3 linked regions of the Rhinolophus ferrumequinum genome follow. The protein of the gene in region 3 interacts with the protein of the main gene of each other region in a pairwise test. Links are inferred from orthologs where the notes say so. Each region holds a gene or a part of one and is shown on either strand. Other genes may lie near its edges. The genes, in order: MYOD1, MYF5 and ID1.

Region 1 (10,702 bases), on a different chromosome or scaffold from region 3:
TTGTGGGGGTTAAGCTAGTTTAGATTAGGTTTCTGTCACCGGTACCTGGAAGTGTCCTGGACTAAATCTGTCCCCCTACCTGCTTCCTCTTCTCCTGAGGTCTCCATCTCTTTAATGGCACCACCAACCACTCAGAAGCAAACCAGAGCTTCGTCCTTGGCTCCTCCTTTTCCCTCACTTCCTTAGGGCCTCCATACACAAGGCACGGTGAACAGTTGTATAGGTTGGTCACTGCACACGTGAACAACCTGGCTGGAGAGACGAGTGGGGGCTGAAGGCCATCCTGCTCTCTGCTTGCCCAGGCACGAACCCTGGTGCAGAGCAGTGTCCTCCAAGAAGGGACACCTTTTTCTAATTGTACACTGTCTCCTTATAGGCTACTGGGATCCTCTTCGTATATGTGATTGGTTCCCTCCGTGCAGAAACTCTGCCTCTTCCTCTCTTCACCGGGTTACCTTCTCATACCCCATTATCATGTCTCATCGCACCCTGTACTTTGCCTTAGAGTACTCTCCGCATTTACAACATTGCATTTGTTCCCTTGGGTCTTTGTCTGATGGCTATTTCCCTAATGGATTTTAAGCTGTCTGAGGGTAGGGACTGTGCCTTCAAGGTTCTCCACTGTACCATCAACACCTACACTTTATCTGGCACAACTGTCTCCACACCTATGCTTTCTCTCCCATCCCCAGTCACTGCCCCAGGTCAGGCCATGTTATATCTCCTCTGAGCAACCCTGGTGGCCTCCTGACAAGTCGGCCATCCTCCCACTCTGTCAGCCCAGACTGGCCTTTCTAAAATATACATTTATTTGTATCCTTCCCCTGTTCAGATTCCTCTCTGTTTCCCTGTTGCCTTCAGGATAAAGCACAAATGAGGCCCTGTGCCTGCTTTCCCCCCATCTCCCTTCTGGCCCCTCCCTGTGAAATTTTTGGTTTCATGAAGGCACAATTTGCTTTCTGTCGCCTCTGGGTCTTTGCACTTGCTGTTTCTTTAGCTTGGAGCACTCTTCTTTGGCTCCTCTTTCCTGACCAACTCCTTCAAGATTCTTATTAGGGGTTACCTGTTTGTCCATACCTTCTGTTCCTACTATGTTCCTCTGCCACATACACCCCCATTATAGCACTTAATTCATTGTGATGTCGCCAGCTGCTAAAAGATCCAACCTCCCCACATATCTGGGTGCTTCCCAAAGACAGGAATTGCGTCTACTGGTGTCTGTTTTCACCCAGCATAAGACCTGGCATCTGTTGAATGAATGAATTCATGAATGAGCCCCAAGGAATCTCAACGGACTATAAAGAACCCCAAAGTGCATAAGGATCCCCAAGGTGCATCTGTGGAAGAAGCCAGAAGAAAAGCCGAGGATCATTAGTAACAGAGCAGCTCTGGCAGCTCCTCGGGGACCCTGTGTCGGGAAGAGTAAGGCTCTCCTTACAGCAGACAGCAGATCCCCAGATAAGTAATGAGGCCCTTCCTTCTGGCATCACATCTTGCCTTCCTCAGGGCCCCCCACTTGAGCAGAGCCCTGGAAAGTGGGCTTGCAAGGTTTTCAGGAAAAAAAGGGTAAAGGTGGGATGTGGGGAGGTCCTGGTGGCAAGCGTATGTGTTTTGGGGGTGGAGGTGGTGTGCTCTGAGAGTGGGGAAGAACTTTTGCCAGGCCATCCCTCCAGGGGACGACAAGGGCCTCTGGGAGGGCAGAGTGCGTGTGTGTGTGTGTGTGTGTGTGTGTCTCATAAGACACAGCTCAAGTGGCACCTCTTCCAGGAAGACTTCGCAGCACCCTGGCTAAATCAATGGCCCCTCCTCTGCTCTCAGAGTGTTTATATCTTGATGAGAGCATGTATGCGGCCTGTGATGATAACAGGTTTACATGTGCCCCTCTTCTTGCAGGCTCTGGGCTCCTGTTTCTGTGAGATATAGCAGTGCCCAAAAGCTGTAAGTGCTGGGTTACTGGCTAAGTAGAAGCGCCTGTCCCTGTCTGGCCTTCAAAGTTTTCCCCTTGTGGTTACGCCTGTCACTAAGAGCCTGTAAGTACCACACAGCTTACCGCCTCTTCACACTCACTCATACCGTGTTCCCCCGAAAATAAGACCTAACCGGAAAATAAGCCCTAGCATGATTTTTCAGGATGACATCCCCTGAACATAATGCATCTTTTGGAGCAAGAATTAATATAAGAGCCGGTCTTATTTTCGGGGAAACACGTAATGCTCCGAGCACCCTATCGCATCCTCTGTAGCCATGAGGATTCTGAGTGGCACCTGGGGCCATTACTTCCCAGTGATCCTTCTGGACACCACACCTGGGTTCACTCTGTGTATGGAGGCGTGTGATTCTCAACCTTGCATTTTGAAAAATGGGGAGCTTTTGAAAAATACCAACTCTGAGGTTCTGGGGCAGATACCTTAAAGCACAACCTTTGGTGGCGAGGAGACCAGGCATGGGTCTTTTTGAAAACTATTCAGATCATTCTAATCTGCACCCTGACAGGAGAACCACTGACCTGCGTGTGGTGCTGCTCCTCACCGTCTTAGAAACCTCCCCACGTATGGGAGGCACATCGCTTCTTTCTCCTGACCTCAGGCTTCCTCCTTGCAATCCACCTGCCGCCTACAGGGCTAGTTGCGGTACTCCTTTGTGGATTTTCCGTCCCCTCAAAATCCTGCCCCCATCCCTAGGGAAAGCCGGAGCCACCTCGGTATAAATTAGCGTTTTTATTTCCAACACCTGAGCGAGCGCCCGCGGCTCGCCCGCTGCAGTATAAACATACAAAGTGCCTGTCGCACCGCACACCATGCCTCAGAGATAAATACAGCCCTACGGGCTCCTGCTCTGTCAAAGCAACTCTTATTTACAGGAATAGATTACAAAAGTATTACAAAAAAGTGGTCCTGAACAGGGGGAGGGGTGAGAGTGGTTACCGTTACACTTGTTACACTTGGGACCTGAGCGCACCCCGCTGGCTGTGGGAAAGAGCGCGTGTCTTCGGGGCTAGCAAAAGGAGAGGCCACGCCCCCATAAGCGACCTCGGCGTCAAGGGACTGGGGTCGGCGCGGTTCCCACCCCCATGGGGGAAAGTGTCGAGGAAGAGAAAGGGCCTGGCCCCTCCAGAGTCATCTGTGGCCCACCGAGGAACACATAACGGCCATCGCAGCGGGTCTCAGAGAAGGGTGCTGCGTGGAAAAAACGGGCTGTGTCCTTGCCCTGGGGTGCGGGAGGCAGGAGACACATCAGTTCTCCTGCCTATCCTCCCTTGGGAAGGGTCGCTTTAAAAGCGCAGTTGGGGGGGGCATTTAAGCTCAATCTTTTGGGTGCGAGGGACCCTAGGGGCACCATCCCTCGGGCAGGTGGACAGCGACGTCCTCCGACGCGGCCGCCCACACCCTCAGAGCACCTGGTAGATCCGGTTGGGGTTGGCGCCCGCGGGGCACTGAGGAGCGGCGTCGGGGGTAGGGGTGGGGGCGCTGCGATCGCCCTCGCTCGGGGCGGCGGCCTCGTGTGGGCCGGGAGACAACGCCGGCGGCGCGTCGGCCAGCAGAAGCGCGGGCGCAGTGGGGCTGTCGGTGGAGATGCGCTCCACGATGCTGGACAGGCAGTCAAGGCTCGATACCGCAGCGTTCTTCCCGGGCCTGGGTTCTGCGCGGGGAAGGGTAGGTTAGTATGTAGGTGTTGAGCCGCGGACAAGTCTCCAACTTCTGGGCCCAGTCCTTTGCGGCAGACGGGAAACTGAGGACCTGCCATTGTCTGGGGCTATCCAGAGAGAGTGGGGAGCGAAAAGAGAGGGAGCTACATGCTTAGTATTTCCTTCCTTGTGCCATCTGCCATGATGTGTGTGTGGAGGGAGGAGGAGGGATGGGGCAGGGATCCTAGATAAAGGGAAGCTAGGGCAGGTCAAAGAGTAACGTGAGGAGGCGCGAATACGCACCGCTGGGCGCCTCGCTGTAGTAGGTGCCGTCGTAGCAGTTCCGCCGCCGGACACCGCTTGGGGGGCCGCTGTAGTCCATCTGCAAACGGCAAGGGCGACCGACTCAGGCCCGTGGGACCAGGCGAGCCTGGAACATCACTCTCTTTGGCCGCCCCTCCACAACTTCCCAAATCTCACCCTCGAATTTCCTGCCCTGATAGGGGTGGGGGTAAGGGTGGGCAGGAGCTGTCTGCAGTATGCAGGGCCAAATAGAGGGCAGACTGTCACCTAGGGCTACAAATCTTAATTTTGATAATAAGGACAAGTGTAGAAAAAGCAGACCACGGCGCAGAGGTGTTCTAACAGTGCTCCCCATCGAGTGGATTGCATCTGTACGATGTGTTCCCAAAACACTAGGCCACCCCAGTGGCAGCTGCCCGGGACAAGGGGTCCACTCCTGTCCAAACCTCTCCCTGGAGGGTCAGTTAGCTCCCCGCCCTCGGAATGGCTTCCCAGATACTCCCGAGAGCTGTCCCCACTTCTCTTCTAGCCCGGGGTTCCAGCCTTACCATGCCGTCGGAGCAGTTGGAGCGCGGGCTGGACGCGTCCGAGTCGCCGCTGTAGTGCTCACCGCCGCGGCCGGGGGGCAACGGGCCGGGCGCGTAGAAGGCGGCAGCGGCGCCAGGGGGCGCGGCGTCCTGGTCGCGCAGCAGCTCCTGCAGGCCTTCGATATAACGGATTGCGTTGCGCAGGATCTCCACCTTGGGCAGACGCTGGTTAGGATTGCTAGACGTGCAGCGCTTGAGCGTCTCGAAGGCTTCGTTGACTTTGCTCAGGCGGCGCCGCTCGCGCATGGTGGCGGCCTTGCGGCGGTCAGCGTTGGTGGTCTTGCGCTTGCATGCCTTGCAGGCCCACAGTAGACAGCGACCCGCCTGGTGGTGCCCGCTGGGCGCGCGCACATGCTCGTCCTCGCGCGCGCCGGGGGCCGGGTGCACGGCCGCGGGGAAATGCGATGGCTCCTCGGGCTTTAGGAGCGCGCCCACGTGCACGAGGCGCGGGTCCAGGTCCTCGAAGAAGCGCAGGTCCGGGGAGTCGAAACACGGGTCATCGTAGAAGTCGTCCGTTGTGGCAAAGTTGCAAAGAGAGCCGTCGGGGCCAGTCAAGTCTACGTCGCGGAGTGGCGGCGACAGGAGCTCCATATCCCGGCGGGGAGCAGCGCAGTCCTGGCTTCGCCCAACCCCGGAGGCAGGGATTGCCCGAAACTTTCTTCGGGTCTCCTGCAGCGCGATAGCGAAATGCTGGGGGTCTGACCGTCCAGTACCCTGCCCCGTCCTGTCCCGCCTGATGGACTCCGCGGAAAGTAGCGGCAGCTCCCTGGGGCTTCTCCACCCCTATTTTCACGCCAGGCGCCGGGGGCGGGAGCGGGCGGCTGGGGGCGGGGGCGCCCGAGGCCAATAGGAACGGGACGGGGCGGAGCTTGGGATCCCCAGGGTGGCCGCAGGGGCTAGAGACTGGCCAGGCCCCGATCCCTAGACGCGCGCGCGCGCGCGTGGTCCGGCTCCTCCCTAGGCAGGAAAGGAGGCAGAGGCTGGCAGCCCAATGCTGCTACACTTGGCTCCCGGGCACACTCTTCCCAACCCTCTCCAGCACAGGACTCCTCCTATCTCTGCGGAAAACGCTGGCCGCGCGGGCTCTCACTTCCCAGCTGACTTTGGGCCCCTCTGTCCTCTGATTTGCGGGGGACCCAAAGCAGAGTAGGAGTAGAAATCAGACCTGGAGAAAGACACATAGCAATGGGGTAGAGACACACGTAGAGCTGAGATAGTGAGAGAGATATATGCAAGAGGCTGAGACATTTAGCGAGCAGAAAGCTGGGGAGTCAGAGGCGGAGAAACGCGCAATGAGAGATAGACCCGAGAGTCAAGTAGGCAAAACTGAGATAAAGTGGACGTGGTGACCATGCCATTAGGCCAGTTCCTGCTCATTTTCCCTGGACGCTTAGAAATCCAGTCTCATTTATACAGGAGTCCAGGATCACTACTAAAGCTTCATGCCAATCTTTCCAAGCTCAACTCCTGCCCCGGCCTGGAGGGAGGGAGGGAAGTGGACGCCTGCCCGAGTCAAACTGTGCATTTTGGCAGCCAGGTGTCCAGTGCTGCTCTCAGAGATGCCTCTTCGGCTGGGAAGAAAACGCCATCTCCTTGGGGCTTGCCTCCGCCTCGCAGTGCTGCATCAGGAAAGTTCATCGCGCAAAGGCTTGGAAAGCCCAGACTCCAGAGTGGAATCTTTGAGGGTGGAGTTTACAGACCAATGACCTAAGTTCGAGTCCAGACCCCCAGTTTCATGCGTGATTTTGTGCAAGTCACTCGCCTTCCGATCCTGTTTACCCATTGAGGACAACAACAGCAATCTCTTAGAGTGATTGTGGTGGTCGGTGGTGAGATTCTGGAGACCAAAGATGTGGAAGCCTTCAGTCTGAGATGTAAGGCTATACTAGCAAGAGGGATTGCTTCTGTTGCTGGCACCGGTTGGCTGGTGTGCTCTCTGTGGGCTTCCCAGCTGTTAGCTGGGGCACAGAGCCCTGCCAGGGGCCCATGTAATCTTAGGGCTCAGCTCCCAGAGGCCGCAGCTGCATTTCTTCCCAGCAGGCCCACTGCAGAGACTGGGGATAGGAGGAGGCAACCACTCCATGGCATCTCTGGCTTCCTCACAAGCCTGAGGTCCCCCTACCCCCATAGGTCTGCTCTGCAGTTCACACCTTCCTCTCTGCACTCTGGCTAGAGGTCTCCCTTGAACCAGATACACCTACTGAGGTCTCTCTTCCTAGAGCCAAGAGATAAAAGCAAGAGTGATCTTTGTGCCTCTCCCACTAACTTCTGGGATCTGTCCTAACTGACCCTTGGGTGCTGGGAAGTCCTCCCTTCCCATCAAACCTCGAGGGCTCTCTTGGAGCCCTGCCTTCTTAACTTCTCTGCCACTTGTGGTAGTGCTGAAGGTCTTCTTCGTGAAGTGCTCAAGTCCCTTCATTCCATAAAACCACCTTCATTTATTCATTTAACACATTATGGAACATCCATTATGTGCCAGGTACCTGTCTAGGTGTTGGAGACAGAGCAATGAACAAAACCAAGACCCTGCTTTCATGGTGCTTTCATTTTAGGGTAGGGTGACAAACAATAAACGAATGAGCAAGGAAGTATATAATGTCAGGAGGTTATAAGTTCTACAAAGAAAAAGAAAACAAGGCAAAGGAACAAAGTGATGAAAGTTATTTCTCTGGGCTGATTATATTTGGGCAGAAACCTGAATGAAAGGAGGGCAGAAGCAGATATCTGGAGCCAGATAGAGGGAAGAGCATGTGCCAAGGTCCTGGGCAAGACTGTTTGGCAGACTTAAAGTGCAGCAAGGAAGCTGGTATGACTAGAGCAGGGTGAGCAAGTGGGAGAGTGGTGGGGGATGGGTCAGACAGAAAGCAAAGGAATTGTATTCTGAGATGGAAAGCCACTGGAGGGCTTCAGGAGAAGAGAAGAATGTCACCATCGGACTTAATTTTAATAGGAGGATACTGGTTATGGAGAGCAAGGGCAGAAGCAGGGAGACCGATTAGGAGACTATTGCAATAACCCAAGTGAGTGGTGATGGTGGCTTAGATCTGGCTGTCAGCAGTAGAGATGGTGAAAGTATTTGAATTCCAGATATATTTTGAATAGGGAGCCAGCAAAATGTATTCGTAATTGGATGTGGGCAGTGAGACAAAGAGGAGTTAGGGTTGACTTCTGAAAGAATGAAGTTGGGGAAGAGTAAGTCTGCCAAGAGTCCAAATTTGGGCAAAATTTGAAATAAGTATTCAATATCCAAGTGGTGATGACAGGTAGGCAGGGGGATTTCTGAGGCTGGCATTCCAGAAGGGAGATCTGGTCATGTGGAAGACCTGTCCATTTGACCTCTAAGACATCTCTCAAGTCTGTCCATCCCCAGTGTGACCACCTTGGATTAAGCTGCCACACTGCTGGCTTGGGTGACCCCAGTAGGGGATGCTCTCCTCGTTTCCACTCTTGCCCCTGTATAATCCATTCACTACACAGCAGCCTGAGTCATCCTTTAAAAGCATAAATGGGATTATATCCCTCTTGTGCTTCAAACTCCCCAACAGCTTCTCATTGCATTTAGAATAAAATCTCACCTCTTCACCCTGGCCTGTGAGGCGCTGCACGACCTGCCTTCAGCCCATCTCTGCAATTTCACCTGGAACCACTGTTCTCTTTGGTCACCCCATTCTAGCATGACCTCCCTTCCTGTCTTCCAACACTTGGAGCCTTGTGCTCGCTGATTATCGCAGTCTCTTCCAGGCTCTTCCCAACATCGGCTGCTTTTTATATATCACGTCTCAGCTCAAACGTGACCTCCTTGGGATGTCTCTAAGACATCCTCTCTAGGACAGCTGCATCACATCACCCTGCTCAGGTCTTTCTTAGCACAGCCGCTCTTTAGTTATCTTCTTTATTCGTTTGCTCATTGATTGACATAGTCCCATCAAGGCAGGGATGTTTGATTCACCATGGCCTTTTCAGAAACCATCACAGTGGCTATCACACTGTAGGAACTTGATAAATGTTGAATGAATGAATGCGTGGCCTCATGCCCTTTGAATTTCTATGCATATATTTGAACTTCTTGAAACATGTCTTTAAGGTGGATGGTTGTATTCCTTCTAAACTGGATAGTCGCATACATGATTAGACATACATGCTCAGTCATACTTGCTTTTTCCAGGCAAGACTCAGGCCCACGGGGCTGGGACATGCTCCTTTAGGTTGAGCGATTATACATGGCCTGCTTTAATATTGTCTTTTTTCATTTGACTTACACTCACAATGAGGAACATAAATAATGTGACATTGGTGATTTAGATTGAACCAAGTATTTATCAAGCCTCAGCAGAATGCCTGGCACATAGTAGGCACTCAATAAATACTTGTTGGATGAATGAATGAATCAATCAAACCGTTTAATTGAAGAGTACCCTGAGATTCCAAGTGAACTCTTCAAACCACTTATCCGTACGAATCTAGACTTCTCAGACCTGAGCAAGCAAAGAAAACATAGAAATAATTTGGATACCGAGACTGAAATGATTACAACCTTGCTTTTCGTGTTTTGCATTCATAAAAATCACCTCAGCGCCATCATCAAGGTGACTCTACAGTAAATAAATGTTATATGTTCGAGCTTACTGAACGCATTTAATATTTTATCGCTAGTGGCTTAGAAATCTAAAATGCTTTGACAGTTTTACACTTGATTTGTAGTTTCATCTTCAGTAATTAGGAAGCACTGTTATGAAACCACACACATGCTAGTGGTGCATGCCACTTTTATATTAGATTTCCAAGTGGGATTTTGTTTGCTACGCAGTTTCTGATGCTTAAACAGGGTGGCACTCACTGGACTCAGCGACCGTGACAGACCCCTCCAGGCCTGGGACCCGTGCCTGCTCAGGGTCACTCTCCTGGTTGTACCACCACCTCTTTGGGGGAGAGGTTTGCCTACACCACCATCCCATTGCTGTTGCTGAAAGAGCAGGGAGAAGTGCATCCGCCCTGAGAGCTGGCCCCTTTTAGTCCTAGTGTTGGGGGCAGGGAGGGAAAGGACGTCCAGTTTGGAAGCTGAAAGAGTCTAAACCCTTATATTGCAGAGTTTAGTCAAGGGTGTCTCTCGGGAAAACAGGTGCTGGACTTGTTCTGGAAGAGCCTGGTGGCAATGGGCGAAAGGACCTACGGAGGGGGCGTCCTCCAGCACCTGTCGGTCCAACTCAGGCTGATCAGAATGGTGGACTGTGTGATGTGGGCAAATGCACACCTCACCCAGGTCCTTGGTTTTCCAGTCTTCACAATGAGGAGTAACTTTGGCAGCAGGTGGGGAGGCAGGGCTCCCTGGACTCTTCTCCCTTCACCCTTTCCAGTCCTTCTTCCTCAGCTCCCTTGGCCAGCTTGCCTGGGGCTATAAATGGAGAGCCAGCCTCTGGGCAGGAATGCAGAGCGTTCCTGGCTGGGCCCCACAGAGTTGCACCCTCAGGGAGCGGCCGGCCCCAGGGCTCCCGGCCGCCTTTATATATACATATATATATACATATATATATATAGCCTCTGGAAACTCAATCCAGCCTGCACCTGCCCCAGTCTTCAAGCACCCTGCCCCTGCCCAGGCTGGATCTGTGGCCTCTCCCCCTGGGCTGGCAGAGGCTGCATATCTGGCTGGGGTTGTGGGGTGGGGTGGGGTGGGGAGGTGCCAAGGGCCAGAGGGTGAAAACATGAGTGAGCAGGTGGACAGGGCCAGCCCCAGATCTCCTCTCTGTCCCCAGGCTTTCCCTTCTTGTCCCTAGATCCACCCTGGGTACCCCTTTCTGTCCCCTGCCAACTTTTCTCCCCGGAAAGCCTGAAACTGCCTGGTACTAGATATGAATCCTGCCCTGGGACCAGTCTGAGGTGGTCAGAGAGTATAGAATTGGTCCAGATTCAGGGCCAGGGGCCGAGAGATTTTTACAGATGGCCACACTTCTCACTTTGGAGTACTCCCCAGCCTCCCGCATACAAGCAGGGCTTGGGAGTTTAGCAGAGGAGTTGGAGAAAAGGGGTCCATGTGGAGGGGGAAGGGCATGGTGACAACAAATGGCAAGGGTATTTCCTTCCTGCCCGGTGTGCAGGGAGTGGCTGTGTGGGGCAGTGCGTGTACTGTGGGCACTCGGTGATTCATTCACTCACTCAACAAATACTTACGCTGCCCATGTTCTGTGTC
Region 2 (10,089 bases), on a different chromosome or scaffold from region 3:
ACTGAATCCAGGTTGCCACTGGGAAGCCTTGGGCTGTAACTGTTCCCTCCCTTCCTCCATTTCCTCATTTATAAAATAGTGGGGACGACAATCATGGTGCTTAACCCCCGGGGTTGTCAAGATTCACTGAGATAACCCATATAAAGTGTTTAGCCAAAACAGCGTGCAACATAAACAATGTCGGTTTTTGTTTTTTTTTTCATTAGTGAATCTAAATTGACCATCAAGACGCTTTCTTCCACCATAACCCACAGTTTCTTCAGATTCGGTTTTCCAGCCTTTACAGGCTCTGGTTGGGAAAGTGTTTAATAACAATGAGACCAGCAGCGACATTAATGAGCCACTTGTAGCATTTTACATATTAACTCATATAGTACAACAAGTGAAAGACGTACAATGGTTATTTCTATTTTAGAGAAAAAGGATGCTTTGGAACAGAGAGGTTCTTGCATTTGTGAGTATAGAGTCAGAACTTGGAGCCAGTCAATTTCAAAGGCTTCCAGCCTGTTTTCTCCATCACCATGCACCCCCAAAAATAACCTTTGGGAGATAAGAAGGAACATCCATTCTCTGTAGAATAATTTGGCTCTTTTTGACAGTTGCTTTTCAAAAGCTCTTCCTCAAGAGCGATTAGCTAGTAATTTAACTACAAAATAAGTGAGAAAGCATTTCAAGTTATCCAACCAGAACATGTGTGAATATATCTGGGTGGTGTGTATAACCATTACTCATGCTTATTATTAGGTATCTATGTTTTTCCTGAAAATCAATATTTTCCCTAAAATGTATGTATATTCACATACCTATATTTTAAAAAAATCAGATTTATACCACGGCTGAAGTCAAATACCATATAATTGACCAAGTGAACTCCTTTACTTTATGATTGCACATATATTTAAAATAAGATCTGTGTTATAACCTGCTCAGCAGCAGAATGCTTTTATCAATTCATGGACTTTACTTGCTGATAGATTTGATTCAGTCTTTGCAAACTAAATCCTCTCTATCTCTCCTAGCTGGGTAACTTGAGAAATTGTTTGGAATAAGTTTGCCTATAGAAGTCTCTTCATTAAATAGAGCAAATATTTCCCAAAGACTTCATGTGACCTCCACTGCTGTAGCTGACATGTTAGGCTTTCCAATGAAATCCTTGGTGTGTTTGCAATTAAAATGTTTTTATTGGATATTAATGATGTTAATCTTTACTAAGGCCAAAGCCAAAGCCACACACACACACACACACACAAGAAAAACACAAAAGAATAAAACAACCCAAAAACAAACAGAAAAAAAACAAAAAACAGGGCCATGGAAGCAGAAAATCAAGATGTAATAACTTGGTAAAAATAAGCAATTTGGGATTTAAACTGAGCCTCTTCCCAGAGGCAAGCATAAAGATATCCCATATAAAATAATGAATGATTTTTTGTTTTTTAATATTACTATAGATACAGTTTGTGAAACGTGAAGTGAAATGTCAGTTTTCTCAAACTAACTTGAATCATCATACCTGGATCATTGAATTCCAAGCCTGAACATAGTGGAAATCCAACTTATGTCTAATACAATCTTTTCTTCCTTTTTTTGCCCCCAGGCTCTATCACATGTTTGGGGGGTTGGGGGGTGAGAATGTGGTGCTGAAATTCAGTGTTTCTAATTGTTCTTGAGGTGGCCAGAAAAGTCTTGGGTTGCTTAACCTGACCTTTATCCTTATTAAGATATTTTTGACTTAAAATTAGAATGTATCTGTTTGTGGGTTCCTCTTAGTAATATTTTATCCCATGTTTTAATCTCAAAATCCTCCTCCCAGAACACCATATATGGGAAAATAGTTTTTAAATGTTTTAGTTTAAACTTTGAATATCTCATTACCTAACTTGGTGCAATAGTAAATTAGCAATAGCATGGTATTTCCTCAAAGAACCAAGCCATCAACACATTTCTCCAACAGACCCCTCCAGTCACTCCCTTAAACTCAAAAGCAGTGTTACAAAAGATGATCCTTGGTCTTAGAGGTTTCATTCTGAAAAGCAATTTTGCAAGCCTAGTTCAGAGTCAGCCTATGAGATGGAATGGCTATGCCATGTGCTGGAACAAAGATAATGCTGCAAGAACTGGCTCCTTTCTCTACTCTCAAGGCTGCTAAAAGTCCTTATTTAGGCCTTTGATCTCTCCTGGGAGTCTTCGAATTCAAGCAGAAGCCAATGTCTTCCTCAGCTGTCTTCTCCACAAATTCTTCCAGCAGCTTTGGCAGGTACTAATGTGTTTACTTAGGTGTGCCTGGTTCCCAGAGCTAATAACAGTTTGATATTGTGTAGCACATTGAAGTCATATATAAGCAAAAATCTCCAGAACAACTCCCTTTGTCCCAGAGTTGTTAAGGGTCTCAGGCAGAGGCAGAAATGAATTGAAATAGGCTAGTCTTTCTGTGACATTTGCTTCTCCCACTAAGAGAAGCATGGAGAATTTTCAATAATCCAGAATTCCTAGGGAGGGCAAAATTTACTAGGAAAGGAAGCTCTGAGTATCATTTTGCTGGTGCGGTCTGTCCATCAACACTAGGATTGTTGCCACAATGCTTAAACTAAAATAGTTTCCCTTAAAAAGAAAAGTTGATGATTACTTAAAAGTCTAAGCAATTAAAACCTGCTTATAAGTCTAAATTGAAAGAACATCAAACCTGTATTTATTTTTCTTCAGAATGTGAAATGAAAAAAAAAAAAATTGACTATCTACTTCTCCAGAACCTTGGTGGGCATTTGTTTATAACACCCTATGTGGCTTAGTTTTCTTCCCCTCTGTTCCTGTCTACCTGCTCCTAGGCTTTCCTAGCAGTCAGTGTCGGACTCATCATTTCTTACAACTGTTTACATGTTAAAATACATGTGGTTTTCTCTGCATATGAGAAGTCCTCTTCTCTGGAGAAATAGTAGAAAACAGATTGTATTTTAAGTCTTTTGTATGAGGAACAAAAGCCAAAGCTAGTCTGATTTTGAGTAAAAGAGGGCAACCAAATAACCAACAGAACTTTTTAAAGTGAAAATACTTCCCTGTTCAATTTCCCCCCTCAGACAACAAACAAACAAACAAACAAAACTTTTTTTTTTTCTCTGTATCGCTCACGCAATTTCCCATTTTTCTCTCACAAGGTTTCCCCTGGGAAAAGCAGCGGAACCTCTCCTGAATTGGGGGACCCCAGGCATCTTTGAGGAGCCGGGCTCCCCTCCTTCTTTGTACACTGCCTCCCACTTTTTAATCTTTCTCCTCTCACCCCTAACAGCGGTTTAAAGGTTTTGTCTCGTTTTTTGATTTTGGTGCTCTGAGATCCTATTTTCAGCACTTGAGTCCCAAGGGTCGTCAACCCCGGACCCTGTTTCCCCGCTAGCAAGTCCCATTAAGCCGCTGGACGCTTGTGTTTTCTTGGCTTCTTTAGCTCCAATCGCCGCGGCACTCTGGTAAATTTGTTTTGAGATCACCTTACCAAAGACAGCCCTAACATCTGAGAACGACCGTTACTGACAGAGCCTCCTGAGTGACAGCGACTTCCCAGGACTGAGAGCGGAGGGGAAGACGTCAGGGACCCAGCTTTTCCAGTTTCTGCTCTGCACCGCTAAGCACTCGCACTGAGCCTGAACCTGTAGAAGAAGAAAACAAACAAAATTTACCTCTAGGACTACAAGCTAGACAAGGGAATGACTAGTTTCCTAATCCTGTGTGGCCTGGACAAATTACCACCTACCCCTGGAGCTTGGGTTCCCTTCTTTTAAAAATGATTCTATTAATAGTCCCCATAGAGTCGTTGGAAGGAGTAAATGAGTGAATACATGGGAATGGTTGAGAACAGTGCGTGGCAAATAGAAAAGTCTTAATAATTGTTTGCTACAAATATGCCACACTGAAGAATTGGTACAAAGCATATTAGGTGTGTGGTGGCAAGAAATCAGCTGAAAGGGTTGCAAAAGTGAAACCTCTACCTTCCACCTAAACTTTAAGGAGCAACTTCATTTGTGCCCAGATCATAAATCTGCACATAATTCTGTTTAGCTGTAGCCAGTGTGCTAAGATCTGAACTCCATAGCCAAAGAAAGTGGTAGTGCTGCTGCTGGCCAGAAGTTGTGGGACGTGGCTGAGAATTCCTGGATGAGATGGCCCCACTATTGTATTTCAGAGGCAGCAATGTGCAGGAATTCCAGTGTTTCCACCCGTGGATGCAGCCTTCCATTCGGCCTGGGTCCTTTAGGAACTTGACTCTTTTATCTGGTGTAGCCCTGGGTGTTGTATTCATTTCAAAGGCATTCACCTGTTAATAGTCCTAAATAAGGTGCAGATGGATTTCCCACTGGCCAGACAATTAAGCAGCCCGTTGGTGTGAAAGGGAGCCTGATTTTTCCAAGCATGATGGTCGTGGTGTCTTTGCCTTAGGGATGACACAACATGGGAGAGGGGACTGCAACTCTGTAGCAAACCTTAGTGACTGTCACTCTCCTAGCCCTGGTTTTCAGGACCTTCACTTTGGGGAGAGGATCTCACCCTGAAAAAGTTAACATTTATCTGGCCCCTGCGGACGTGAAATCAGCCAGCCAGTGTTGTTTTAGGAAAATAATTTTACAGAAAAGTGGTAGAAAGGAAAGTGCCCCTCTCCCACAAAGAACTTTGGAGCCACATACTTACTGTACTGGATGACCGCAGATCGAGATGTGAACATTCCCTCATGTTTTAATGGGTCCAAACCCCCAGACTAAGTCTATTTGTGTAAACCTTAAGTAATTGTTTTTCCTAGAGATAAACTGCACCCCCCACCCCCAGTGATCAGGAAGTAGGTGAAGGCCAGAGGACGATTGGCAAAAGCTTATTAATAGATTCATTCTTATTTAAATGACAGCTCTCCCCTCTCGTCTTTTACCCACAAAAGTTTCAAAGACCCTGCTACGATTGCTTTTCTGGAAGGCTTTTGTCGCGGGAGTGTGTGAAGTTACTCAGGGTTTGAGGAGTTGGAAATTTTACACGAGCCGAGAAGGATTGCTGTGCCGGCAGCTGGGATGCATCTGTAACGGTGCGAGTTTGCCCGAAAGCAGAAAATCAGCGACCCCAAAGCCCAGCTTGGCTGTTTAGTCTGTTGAAATGATAGGGCGGAGCAGATAGAGAGCGAGAAAGGAGACGCGCCCCTGGAAGGGGAGTTCGCGGTGTAAAACTGGGTTTCTTCTAATACAGATCCTAGAGACGCCGCGATGTGTATCTTCCGCCAGCCCAGGGTCTAGCAAAGGCCTGGTGCAAAGGAGAAGGCGCTCAATAAACGTGTGCAGAAGGTGAAAAGGAAGGAAGGACGTTCCCTGTCACCTGAACCCTGATTGAGCCCACCTCCTTTTAGAGGAGCAGACAGGGAGAGAGAACTCAGAGCAGTGAGCACCCCACCTACTCCCAATAACATAGAGCTTATAAAATGACAGTCTGATCTGAACAAAATACATATTTAAAAAAAAAAATCTAGATTTCACTCCATGATTGAAAGTGTCACTTCAAGTTTTTAGCAACCGTTATTCCGGTCCACTGACAAAAAAAGAAGCCTGAGATCACTAAAGTCTGTGAAAAAGATAAACAAACACCTAAAACTAAAGTCATTTACCCATATCTCTAAATGGGAAGGCAGGTAGACTTTTGGTGTCAGCTGAGAGTAGGGAGTTTTATCTATTGTTTTTCAATGTGTGAATAATTGCAAAAAGTTGGACTTCCTTCCTTTTGTCTGTGACACTCTAAGTGAATCTAGAAAGTGCAAGTGAGCAGGTTGGGGAGCCATGCCCCTCCCCCGCAGAAATGCAGTAAAACCATTAGTGTCAAAAAGAGCAGTAAACAGCAAATTGTCTCTAGAGGAAAGACGGAGGTTTGCCCAGGCAGTCCCAGCGCGGGTGGCGGTGGGATATGCTAATAGTGTCTGGCCACTGGGGCCGGCCTCCCTCCCCCAAGAATATATAAAGAGCCCTAACCCCAGCACGGCAGACCCAGGCCGCCAGGCGTCTGCCCTTGTTAATTACCGGAGAAACCAACCAGGGAGCTTCGCCCGCCCGAGGTTGGCTGTCCAGCAGCCGCTCCGGGCTCAAGTTTCTCCCTCATCTCTCTCACTGCTGTCCAGGTGCCCCGCCGGCCTCACCATAGAGGATGGACATGATGGATAGCTGCCAGTTCTCGCCTTCTGAGTATTTCTATGACGGCTCCTGTATCCCGTCCCCCGAGGGCGAATTCGGGGATGAGTTTGAGCCACGAGTGGCTGCCTTCGGGGCGCACAAAGCAGAGCTGCAAGGCTCAGACGAGGATGAGCACGTGCGGGCACCTACAGGCCACCACCAGGCTGGCCACTGCCTCATGTGGGCCTGCAAAGCATGCAAGAGAAAGTCCACTACCATGGATAGGCGGAAGGCGGCCACCATGCGTGAGCGCAGACGCCTGAAGAAGGTCAACCAGGCTTTCGAGACGCTCAAGAGGTGCACCACGAGCAACCCCAACCAGAGGTTGCCCAAGGTGGAGATCCTCAGGAATGCCATCCGCTACATCGAGAGCCTGCAGGAGCTGCTGAGGGAGCAGGTGGAGAACTACTACAGCCTGCCGGGACAGAGCTGCTCGGAGCCCACCAGCCCCACCTCCAACTGCTCGGATGGCATGGTAAGAGATAGCTCTGGTACCTACTTCGTCACTCCAATCTCTGCCAAAAATCCATACATCTCATTTAAACCAGGTGTGGCAAGCAAATACTCAAAGGTTATTTGGTGGATAGTTGAGGGTGGGCAGACAGTTGCTGTAAGGGAAGAGAGGTGCCACATTTCAAAAGATGCTGGGAAACATAGCTGTTGAACAGCATTTTAGTTTGACTTCCTATCAGGTTCTACATGTACGTTGTAGAAGAGAGGTGTCATGTGAGATAAGTGGCTGTGAATGATCAATCACATGTTTTCTTCATTGCTCAGTTTATTTCCAAAATATACGATCAGTGGAGCCTTCCATTCACTAACATCTAGAGGCAACTCTGAAATTCCCACTGCCCTACAGTTTATAACTTAATGAAAGAAATACCCTCGTGGCTCCAGTCCCTGTTTTGCTGAGGCCTGGCTGGATGGAGATGGTGATGCATTCATTACAGAGAGCGTTTGCTCCAACGCTGCCAGGTTTTAATGTGTTTTTGCCCTGGGAAAGTGTTCTCTCCCTGAATTAGTGTGGCTTCCTTCTACTCCAATCCATTTTGCATGGTTAACCCACTGCACATTGCTGCTAAATTCCACCCCCCTTTTCCCTTTGCTGCTGCACTCCTCTTCCCCAAGCACAGAGATTGACCTCAGTGCCCTTGCAACTTGGTGAGGGCTAACTCTTCCTACATCAAGGCAATGAAGGTGATTGACAGGGGTCAGTTTACGGAGCTAGTGGGCAAGCACTGCCTCTCTCTAGGTCAGAGAATCTTTTGCCAAGACTTAAAAACAAACTTCTTTTTTGTCTTGTACTGTAGCCTGAATGTAACAGCCCTGTCTGGTCCAGAAAGAGCAGCAGTTTTGACAGCATCTACTGTCCTGATATATCAAATGGTAAGAACCGATGACTTCAGAAGAGTTGAAAGACCAGTTCAACTTCACAATTCAGCCTGTTAAAGCAGAGCCTGCCCTTCCTGGCAGTACCGGGGAAGGGAATAGAAGTGATGGTTCTTATGGGGAGATCATGGCAGAGCAAACTACACACAAAATGCACCTAATGAATACATATATATGTGCACGTTCTCTTGGTATATTACTAGAGGGCTTTTCTGCATCCTACATTCACCCCATTAATTGCTAGATATTTGTTGAAGATTTTTGCATCAGGCTTTCTGTGACCACCTGACCTCTTGGTGTCAAAGGTGCTGACCTACAGTTTAAGGGGCAACATAAGCAAGTCTGTATATTTGGTGATTTTTTTTTAATGGTTTTTCTCTTTGTATCCTTAGTATATGCCACAGATAAAAGCTCCTTATCCAGCCTTGATTGCTTATCCAGCATAGTGGATCGGATCACCAACTCAGAGCAACCTGGATTGCCTCTCCAGGACTCCGCTTCTCTCTCCCCAGTTGCCAACACTGATTCACAGCCCGCAACTCCAGGGGCCTCTAGTTCCAGGCTCATCTATCATGTGCTATGAACTAAACATCTAGTCTCAATCAATTCTGCCAGGAGGACCTATTACACAGGAGGAAGGAGGCCCAAGGAGTCCAAAAGCAAGACAACCTGTACATAGATTTCCTTTCAGTTGTAAATTTGTACATACTACCTTGCCACTTTATAAGAAAGTGTATTTAACTAAAAACTTAACCATTGCAATTAATACTTTATTTCTTTTCTCTTCCTCTCCTTTTCTCTCCTCCCTCCTTCTTTTCCTTCTTCTTTGCTTTAGATACATAGTTCTAATATTATTTCTGATAGGGGGCAATTCATTGAAGGTAGCTGGTTACAATGCTTAACTTATACTTTTTGTTTTTTTATAAATATCACTTATCAAAATATTATCTCTGGTGTTTAGATCTTTATTTTTTTCTTCAAAACATTAGAACAGCTGGAAACCAGTTACAGGAAACTTTAAATATATTTAACTTTTGTTTTTCTCTTTAACCCTTTGATTATATTGAATTAAATAAAACTATAATAATACTGCCTAATGGTATATATATTGATCTTTTCTTATAAGAAATACATCTTTTTAATGTAAGCACAAAAATAGTACTTTGTGGATAATTTCAAGATATAAGACATTTTGGAAATTCCACCATAAATAAAATTGTTTAAATGGAGAAATATTTTGGTTCATGATTTTTTGAAAGAATACCTCTAATGGAATTAGTAGTCATTGACATGAAATCTTTAAGATAGGGCTAAAAATAACAAAACAAAACAAAAGTTGGCTTTGAGGATAAATCTGAATATTTACCATCTCATGGACTCAGTTTAGGTCCTGTTGATGTCACAAATGAAAATACCATATTTCCAGTTTAATCATATTTCCAGGGAGCCTGCTAAATAAAAATTTTCCTTTATCTTAGTACTGTACCATATAATGTCAAGTTGTATGTGTGTGGAGGACCGGAGGTAGAAGTTATTCAGGCAACAGCATGTTTAAGAAGAATATATACCATTACATCATTTACTACCTACAGTGCATTAGAAATCATGAGTTAGGTCATATTTACCTGCCTGAAAATATCTTGATTTATTAATATATTAATATTGTCAATAAAATATTTAAAGGTATTGAGCTGATTGAGCTGATTTTGTTGTTGTTGTTAAAGTGTCAGAATAAGAAAACTTACACAAACTATAGTAAAGTGAAGCAGAGTGCAATAGTTTCTATTCACAGCCTTTTTGCTTTTACTAATCATATTTTATGTGTACTCGTATGTGTGTATGTGTGTGTGTGTGTATATTTGTGTGCGTGAAAGATATGTACCTTTTACTGTTCATCACTTTAAATCTCCTTCAGAAAGATTTGAGATGAAAAAAATAAAACAATTAAGTGGAAAATTAGTTTGAGACAGTCATTGGGATAATTCTCACAAGTTTACCATTGAGAGAGATAAAAAGGCAATAGCCTTGAAGCATCTAAAGTAACTGAGCACAGAGAGCAATAAAAATAATTGTTTCATCTTCTAATTTGTACATTAGTTTAAAATTGCTAAGGATTTGTAGTTATATATATTAATCAACCGAAGTATCGGACTCTGGTACAGCTTTGCAATCATACTATTCTCAGGAAGGTTTTCCTTTCTTTCTGATGTGATTTTTCTTGTGCTTGTCCAGTCATCAGGCTTAAAAGAATGGAAATTATTTCATAAAAGGCGGGAGAGAAAAGGTGCTGAGTTTAAAAACTAATGTAATCACTGTCTGTTAACCTCAGGCTCTGACATGGGATACTGACTAATAGCACATACTAAGTCCTTTATCCCATGATTTGGGAGTGTGAGGATTTGAGGCATAGAGAATTCAAGAGGGCATGATAGAGATTTACATATACTTTCAACATAAATTTGAGTTACTTGTTTTTTTAGGTACTTTTTCTCCTTTTTATACTTTATGGGGAGGTTGC
Region 3 (9,260 bases):
CATTCAGGCCATTTCCCCTTGTGCCTTTCCCACATGGAATGGCCAGAGAAGAAGTCACCTTCTCTAGGAAGCCCCTCTGATTTCCTCCAAGGCAGAAACTCATCCTTTTTTTGTGTTGCTAAGTTACTTAGCAGGAAATTTTCATAATATAGTCTTAATGTAGTTAGCATAGGACCTGGCGGGAGGTGGATGTACACAAATGTTAATTGGGGGTCCTAATTATCCTTTAACTTTCTCTCCTATTTGTCTGCTTGTCTGCAAAGTGTCTTTGACATTCCACCGCATGCCAACAAGCAGGCCAGAAGGAGGTATACTAAACATTTCAGGTTGGCTTTTTATTACACAAAGTAGCACACAAATACACTTCTGTTTAAAAATATATTCAAGAAATACCTATGTGAAATGGATCAGAGACCTAAATGTAAAACCTAAAACTACAACTTCTGGAAAATATAGGAGAAAATCTTTGTGATCTTGGGTTAGGCAGGGATTTCTTAGATATGACAAGAAAAGCATGAGCCATAAAATTAAAAACTGATAATTGGACTTCATCAAAATTTAATACTTCTGGGGGCGGCTGGTTGGCTCAGTTGGTTAGAGCACAGTGCTCGTAACACCCAGGTCGCTGGTTCGATTCCGACATGGGCCAGTGAGCTGCACCCTCCACAACTAGACTGAAAACAACAACTTAACTTGGAGCTCATGGGTCCTGCCAAAACACACTGTTCCCCAATATTCTACAATAAAAAAATTAAAAAAAAAGTGATTGCGGTTAAAAAAAAAAGTGATTGCAGTTTAAAAATAAAAGATATTTAAAACTTCTGCTCTTTGAAAGACACCAGTAAGAGGATGAAAAGACAAGAAACACACTGGAGAAAATATTTGTAAATCATGTATCTGATAAAGGATTGGTTTTCAAAATATAAAAAGAACTCTTAAAACTCAGTAACAAGAAAACAAGCGACCAAGTTAAAAGAAATGGACAAAAGAGAAAAGGGTAGCAGGAGGGATCCTTGTGATGGAGCTCTTCTGTGCCTCCACTATGACAGTGGTCACAGGCATCTATTGAACTGAATACACACACAGATGGGTGCACGCCAATCAGGTGAGATCTGAATTTCACATGAAATCTTGTTGTTACCTTGTACTGTAGTTGTGCAAGATGCTACCATTAGGGAAACTGGGTAAAGGATATAAGGGGTTTCTCTCTATCATTATTATTATGTTTTTAAACTTTTAACTTTATTTCAAGTGTGTTTTTCCAGGACCCATCAGCTCCAAGTCAAGTAGTTGTTTCAATCTAGTTGTAGAGGGTACAGCTCACAGTGGCCTATGTGGGGATCGAACCAGCAACCTTGTTGTTAAGAGCACCGCGCTCTGACCAACTGAGCTAACCCGCCGCCCCCTCTCTATTATTTCTTTCTTTTTTTTTTTTAATTTATTGGGGTGACAATTGTTAGTAAAATTACATAGATTTCAGGTGTGCAATTCTGTATCACATCATCCATAAATCACACTGTGTGTTCACCACCCAGATCTATTATTTCTTATGGCTGCATTTGAATGTACAAGTATCTAAAATTAATTTTTTTTAATGAGCAAAAGAAGTGAATGACACTTCATGAAAGATGAGTGGCATATAAGCACATGAAAAAATGCTCAACATCTTTAGTCATTCAGAAAATACAAATTAAAACCACAGCAAGACACCACAACAAATCTATTAGAATGATTGAGAAAGTCTGACCACATCAACTGTTAGAGAAGATGTGAGGACCTGGATTCTCCACACTGCAGATGAGAATGCGAAAGGGTACACCTCCTTGGGAAAACGCTGAGCAGTTTCTTACAAAGTTAAATACATACCTACTAGGTGACCCAGTCATTTCACTACGAAGTATTTGTCTAAGAGAAATGAAAGCATAGATTCATATAAACACTAGCATACAAGTATTTGTAGCAGTTTCCTTTGTACTAACCAAAAACTATAAGTAACCTAAATGTCTATCAACAGGTAAATGGATAAACAAATTGTGTTATATCCATACGCTACTGCTACTCAGCAATAAAAAGGAATGAATATGGATGGATCTCAAAATAATTATGCTGAGTTAAAGAAACGAGTCTGAAAAAGCTACAATAAAGAGTATATACTTATAGATGATGTAATACACAATTGTACACCTGAAATCTATGTAATTTTACTAACAATTGTCACCCCAATAAAAAAAAAGAGTATATACTGATCACTGCACTGTACACCTGAAGCTGAAGCTGAACAATAATGAATGTCAACTACAAGTTTATATATACATATATATGTATATATATATATATATATATGTATATATATATATATATATATGTATATACTTACAAGAAGCAGAGTACAGCATTAGGAATAGAGACAGTGGAAATGTAATGGCTGTGTGCGACGTCAGAGGGGTAGTGGATGGGGGGAGGGGGGTTGACACAGTGTGAGGGATATAAATGATAAACATGTAAGTATTACTTTGTTTTGTGCACCTGAAACTAATAAAAAAAATCAAAATAATAAAAGAGTATATGCTATATATACATTACATATGGATATACTCTGCATGTATATACATATATATGCACAGTATATACTGTACTTCATTTCTATAAAAATTCTAGAAAATGCAAACTAATCTATAGAGAAAACAGATTAGTAGTTTCTTGGGTGGGAAAGTAGAGAGGGAGAGATTACAAGGGGCAGAAGAAAAATTTTAGGGGTGATGAAGCATATGTTCATTTTCTTGATTGTGGTGATGGTTCATGGGTATATCAAAACTTAACAAGTTGTATACTTTAAATATACACAGTTTGTGTATGTCAATTATACTTTAATAATACTGTTTAAGACCAAAACAAAAGTTAAATACCTATGAGAAGATAAAAGTGAAATTCCCTTTCCACATTGCTCTTCTTCCCTTCTCACTCCTTTTTACAGTGGTAACATTAGTAATTTCATGTTTATACTTTTTTCTTCTAATGTTTTTATTGAGGTGCAATTTAAATACAGTGAAATGCAATGTGCCTTGACTAATTCATACATTGTGTAATCCACACCTCATTTTGATATGGATCATTTCTGTCACTTCAGAAAGTTCCTTCACACCCTTTCCCTGGCAACTTCCATTCTCCACTCCCAGAGGCAACCAGCATTCTGATTTCTTTCACCATACATTAGTTGTGCCTGTTCTAGAACTTCATGTAAGAGAAATCATGCAGTATTGTGTTTGAAATTTTTTCTGCAGCATAATTTCCTCTCTCATTTTAAATTCATTTCCAGATACATGTATACTTGGGAGGAGTATGTTTGCTTTTTTACATACAAGAGGTCCTAATTTAACCTCCAGTCTAACTCTTGCTTTCTCTACCAAAGGTAGAAAAAACCTAGATATCTCTCAAGAGCTATCCTTCCTCTGCTGTAGGGCCACTCCACAGCACTGATGTTCTATTCATCATTTATATAACGCCACTGTTGATGGATATTTAGGTTATTTCAACTTCCCCTCTTGCAAACAGCACCTCAGTGGACATCCTTGAGCAGACACCTTTGTGCCCCCTGTGTGTAGGTGTCTCTGAAGTTGATTCCAGCAAGTAGCATTGCAGGTTCAAGTAATAAACACTAGATAATGGATTAATATTCTAAGTTCATCTGTTTGGTCATTGTCCTTCCAATTCTTTAGCAATTCTTCTGCACAGAAACATGTTCTCTTCAATTATTAGAGGATTGCTAAACAAGCCTAGGGAGTTTGGAGATCTTGCATGATGGGGAGACCAGCTAATTAATTGATGATGTCTCTCTCCTTTGAAACCGGTCTCCCTGGTCAGTTTTCCTGGTTTCCTCATGTGGAGGTCCGTGGCCGATTTATTGTCCTTTCCTCCAAACTTCTGTAGGAAAAGGAAACCTGATGATACCCAGTGAATTAACTGCTAAGGGGAGGAAAGTCCATAATATCACCCTCCCCTGTCTGGGATTAGAATTTTAGCCCTGCTAACACTGTGTGTCCTTGAGTAGCTATTCTAAGCCTCAGTTTCCCTGCCTCTGGCCAATCTAGGGTTCTGGAAGCAGACTGCCTGCCCTGGCAGGAAAGGATTGCTTTACAATGAAGTGCGCTTTTATAATAATGCAGCCATTACAACAGCTGTGGCTCCTGGGAGGCTTTTTGAGTCTCAGTTTCCTCCATTGTATAAAGAAACCAAACAGCTCCTCTCTTGAGTTGTGGCAAGGATTACAGAAGATGATAAAGGCAAACTCTTCACACAATGCCTGCCTGCCACGAAGTAAGAACGCAATAAATTGTCACCTGTGTGATTATTATCGAAATACTTGGCAGATGTTAGGACTCAGGGGCCTGAGACTCAACTAAATTCACCTAGCAGTAAAGTTGGAATCGGAACTCGGGCGTTTTTCCCCAGGCTGGATGGAGGGGGAGTTGAAGGTGGGGAGAAACCTCCCAAGCGGCCCAAGCTGTGGGCCTGGTGGGGAGATTCCAGGTGTGGGGCGGGGAGGTAAGGTTACCCTTGTCCGGCGACCGCGCCCTCTAGGAGCGCATTCCCAGGCCTCTCGCACGAGGTCCACAGGTGACTGGCTTGGGGCTGGGGGAGCGCAGAGTCCCGTTTGCCGTCTCCATGGCGACCGCCCGCGCGGCGCCAGCCTGACAGCCCGTCCCGGTTTTATGAATGGGTGACGTCACGGGCCTGGCGTCTAACGGTCTGAGCCGCTTGTTCAGACGCTGACACAGACCAGCCCGGGAAGCGAGGGGGGCGGGGGAAGAGCCTCGAGCTCCGCAGCTGCCGCGCCGTGGGAGGGAGACCCTGCTCCGAGGTCTTTGGGGCGTGGGGGTGGGGTGGGGTGGGCGGGAGGAACAGCCAAAAAAGGGAGAAAATATTTTAAATCACTAGTTCATGCAGCTTTGGGGATTTTTTTTTGCAGGGGCTGCAAATTCAGGGTAGAATTAGGAGATGCATCCCCACTCTGGGAGCCTTCTATCTGGTTCAAGTCCCAGAAGCTCAGCCCCCAATCCTAGAGGAAGACTTTCCGAGGCTAATTGCTCCCACCGAAAGGGCCTGGGTAAGTCCCCCAGGAACATTAACCAGCAACATTCTCTGGGAATTGGGAAAAAGAGAACAGCCCCGGGGAATGGAGTGTAAAGGAGATCCCGTTTTAAATTTCGGCCCAAATATTCGCGAGATCGTGGTCCCAGAGGTCATTTTCCAATAGGGTCCAAAAGCCGGGGCTCTAGTAGTGAGCTCTCTGGGCGACTCAGAGCTAGTCCCTTCTCCATCAGGGCCTCAATGTCTCTCATCCGGGCTGGAGAAGCGAGAAAATGACCCCAGGAAAACTGATTCTTGAAGTTTTTTCGTTATCGGCAATATCAGTTTTGCCTCCTCCCGGAGGAGTCCAAGACAGCCCTCGCCTCCACTAGCCACCCTGCCCTGTACCCTCCCACTCTTTTGGTTCCTGAGACTCTGGTCCCTTTTCCACGCCCTCCAGGGTGCGCTATCAGAGCAGGAGGCGGGGCCCAGAAGCTCTCGAGGCCACGCCTCTACATCTCCCATTGGATGCTTTTGAACGCCTGAGCCCGCCCCTCGGGGTGGAGCCGCAGAGCCTTTATAAATAGTGGGCTGTGGGGCTTCGCTCGCGCATTCTACAACCGACTCTACAGCGTTAAAAGCCCTTCCCGCGGGTCCTTCCCTCGCTTTCTCCGTTTCGTCTCCTCTCCTACACCAACGCCATAATCATGAAGGTTGCCAGTGGCAGCGGCGCGGCAGCCGCGGGTCCCAGCTGCGCACTAAAAGCCGGCAAGACGCCCGGCGGCGCTGGCGAGGTAGTGCGCTGTCTGTCCGAGCAGAGCGTGGCCATCTCTCGCTGCGCCGGCGGCCCCGGGGCGCGCCTGCCCGCCCTGCTCGATGAGCAGCAGGTCAACGTGCTGCTCTACGACATGAACGGCTGCTACTCACGCCTCAAAGAGCTGGTGCCCACCCTGCCCCAGAACCGCAAGGTGAGCAGGGTGGAGATCCTCCAGCACGTCATCGACTATATCTGGGACCTGGAGTTGGAGCTGAACTCGGAATCTCAAGTCGGGGCCCCAGGGGGCCGGGGGCTCCCCGCCCGAGCTCCTCTCAGCACCCTCAACGGCGAGATCAGCGCCCTGGCGGCCGAGGTGAGGTCCGAAATGGAGCACGATATCATTTTCCTTCTACAGATGGGGAAACTGAGGTTCACAGAGGAGGGGGTCTTGGCCCTACGTCCACCCCAAACCTTCGGGCACCGGGCTATGTAAGGGTGCCCAGGGAGATCGATAAAAGCGCTCCCTCGTGTCTTCTGGGGAAGGGGGCGCTTGCAGCCTTGTCTCCTCCAAACCTCCCGTCTCACCTATTCTCTCTTCCTTTCACAGGCGGCATGTGTTCCAGCGGACGATCGCATCTTGTGTCGCTGAAGCGCGGTCCTCCGGCATCGGCGGACCCCAGCCCTTCGGGGCGGAGGAATTAGTGCTCTCTGGTCCTCCCAAGCGCTTCATTGCAGCTGGGGAGAAACAAAACCGAGATCGGCGGCCATTGGGCGCTTGCTAGAGCCAGCCCAGAGCTGGGGGACTGACGAGGGCAGGCCGACCCTCCCTCCACACCTATCAGCCACCAGAGACTTGGGGGGAGTTCCCCCCGTGTGTTTCTATTTTTTGAAAAGCAGACATTTTAAAAAATGGTCACATTTGGTGCTTCTCAGATTTCTGAGGAAATTAATTGCTTTGTATTGTATATTACAATGATCACCGACTGAGAATATTGTTTTACAATAGTTCTGTGGGTTTTTTTTCTGTTGTTATTAAACAAATACTTTAGATGGTGGTCACGTTGCAGTGTTCTTGGATTGAGGGGAGGGGCCTGGGCTGGGGGGATGACCCCTGACCCTTTTTGCAGCTGGTGCTTGGGGGAGGAGGACTGGAAGGCCACATCTGGACTGTCACTTTTACCGGCCTGAAGTGAGTGTTTCCGGTGTCTTTAAAGTCTATTCTTATCCCCTATCCATGGCTATTTTCCTGCTCCCTAGTGTCATAAAATTAAATCCTTTGGGGTTTCTCAAAGTGGTCATTGGGCCATCTGGGTCACCTGGGGAGGTTGTTAAAATGCAGATCAACCTGCCAAGATCCCCTCTGGGTTGGAGTATTCAACAAGCCATTTAAGTTGGAGAACCAGGTCACTGGACCACCTGCACCTTTGCCAAGATGGGGGAAGTGAGATCCAGAGGAAAGGGACTTGCCCAGAGCCTCAGCTTATCTAAGACAGGACTTCATTGCCCCATTCCCCAGTAGGAGGTGCCTCCCCCAATGGGCAGCCTAACCCTGGGTTCCAGCAGTCTGCCCTGGAGCTCCAGGCTTGTCCAAGTGGGTGAGCAACTTGGCAGGACTAGCCTGGGCACAGCTGCAGGGCCACCTGCTCTGGGTTCGGACTCAGCCCCCTCACCCTGGCCTGGCTATGCCAGAAGCTCATAGAAACCTCCTCTCTCTCCCCCAGGGCTCCTGTGTGGGTTCTGAGGAGTGGGCAGGTCAGTCCCCTGCTCCTGAGCAGGAAAAGGGTGTCATCGGTAAGGGCCTATCTGCCTGGACACGTGCATGAGTTTGTACTCATGGGGGAGTGCATATGAGTGGGCCTGTGTGTGGGACATGAACTGCTGTTCCCCCCCTCCCCTCCCCTGTCGGGCTGGGTCCTCTGGTGTACAGGCATGGGGGTGTAGTCAGAGGGCAAATGTGAGCATGTGTTCTGCAGATAAGTACAACCTCCAGTTGTTTGGGCTTGTGTGTTGTGCCTAAATGCATTGTGGGCATCTCTGCATGGATTTGGCGTGATGGATGGGTTTGCTTGTCTAGGGGCTGCAGAACCACACTGGGCTCCTAAGTGTGTAATTGTTCTGTAGATTGGCTGGCATTCCTGGGTCTTGGCTGGTCAGGGGTGGCGGTGGGGGCAGTTGTATCCAGGCAAACCCTTCCTTGAAAGTTCAAGTGCCTCCTTTCCTGGGAATTGTTAGCCCTCAGGACACCAACCCTCAAGTTTCCCGGCCAGGTCGAATCCCATGTATTACACAGGGAAAAACCAAAGTCCCCGAAAGGGCAAAGCACTTGTCCCAGAGAGGATAAGAACTTAATATTATTTTGTCAATAAATAGAATAAAATAAAGAGCACCTAGCACCATGAGCCTGACTGTACGTTCAACCCTTTACATAAAGGATTTCCTGGATCCCTGAGTGGGGTGCTAAAGTCAGGATTCTGATCCTAGGTTTACAACAAATAGAGGCTCAGAAGGGATGAACAAAAAAATGTTTTGAATTCAAGATTATCGTCTATTGAGCATTAACATTAAGGTAGATAACATTCCTTGTCTAATCATGTTGTACACCTGAAACTAATAAATATTGTATGTCAACTATAATTGAAAAATAAATTAAAAAAAAAACACCAGGTACCACCCTCTCCAAGAACATTACGAACTTTATCAAAGAACGTAATATTTGGAGGTAAATTAAGTCCTTTGCTACTCTCCATGGACTCCCCTCCCCACTGCTGTTTTATAGCATTAACCTCGTAGAATTGTAGAGAATAAATGAAGTAGAGCACTTAGCCTGTAGTGTTTGCTAGTTATAAATTATTAATTGTCGCCTGTGTGTCCTTGGAGTGTCCTCAGAGGCACACGTGTGCACCCTATCCCTCCCGTGTGTGGGCCCCCGCCTGCAAGCCCACCCACGGGAGCGGGGGCGTGTCCCCGCGTACACTCCTGCACGGTAGGGCGGTTTTCCAGGGGAGGACGAGGCTGTGGCGGGACCTGGCCCCCAGCCCCAACCGTTCAGGCACACTCTGGCTTCCACGTTTCCCTCTTTTCCCCTTTGGCCCGGGCCCAGCCCATCTGGAGGCCGGCTCCGCGGCGGCCTGGGAGCGTTTCCATCAGCTGGGCCCGAGGAATGCGGAGCTATTTAACCTGAGCATCCCCAGGTGTACGGAGGCGCCTGGCTGTCTGGGGCCCGCCGCCTTTGGCACGGCCGCGCTAGACAAACAGCGCGCCGCCCCCGCCCTGCCCCTCCGCCCGCAGCTGCAGCCGGGCCTGGGAACGGGCGGGCGCCGTCGGCTTGCATAAGAGGCTCCCGGCCTCGCAGGGGAAGGGAGGGAGGGAGGGGGACAGAGGCCGGGGAGTGAGTGAGTGAGTGTGTGTGTGTGTTTGTGTGTGTGTGTGTGTAGTG

What was found.
Region 1: the proteins of ID1 (region 3) and MYOD1 interact in a two-hybrid assay, tested with the Homo sapiens proteins (5 studies listed by BioGRID). The link is inferred for Rhinolophus ferrumequinum from reciprocal best matches to the Homo sapiens genes ID1 and MYOD1.
Region 2: the proteins of ID1 (region 3) and MYF5 interact in binary tests that used the Homo sapiens proteins (3 or more experiments, as listed by UniProt). The link is inferred for Rhinolophus ferrumequinum from reciprocal best matches to the Homo sapiens genes ID1 and MYF5.

The regions. Positions count from the first base shown.
Region 1 is NC_046294.1:36,063,986-36,074,687, forward strand, and holds MYOD1 (myoblast determination protein 1), read right to left. Parts: upstream 5,259-10,702; 5' UTR 5,107-5,258; coding exon 4,477-5,106; intron 4,008-4,476; coding exon 3,929-4,007; intron 3,640-3,928; coding exon 3,389-3,639; 3' UTR 2,703-3,388; downstream 1-2,702. UniProt on the Homo sapiens protein: Acts as a transcriptional activator that promotes transcription of muscle-specific target genes and plays a role in muscle differentiation. Together with MYF5 and MYOG, co-occupies muscle-specific gene promoter core region during myogenesis.
Region 2 is NC_046293.1:74,208,999-74,219,087, forward strand, and holds MYF5 (myogenic factor 5), read left to right. Parts: upstream 1-6,113; 5' UTR 6,114-6,156; coding exon 6,157-6,657; intron 6,658-7,492; coding exon 7,493-7,568; intron 7,569-7,963; coding exon 7,964-8,154; 3' UTR 8,155-8,204; downstream 8,205-10,089.
Region 3 is NC_046306.1:22,839,185-22,848,444, reverse strand, and holds ID1 (DNA-binding protein inhibitor ID-1), read left to right. Parts: upstream 1-5,539; 5' UTR 5,540-5,774; coding exon 5,775-6,197; intron 6,198-6,431; coding exon 6,432-6,473; 3' UTR 6,474-6,573; downstream 6,574-9,260. UniProt on the Homo sapiens protein: Transcriptional regulator (lacking a basic DNA binding domain) which negatively regulates the basic helix-loop-helix (bHLH) transcription factors by forming heterodimers and inhibiting their DNA binding and transcriptional activity.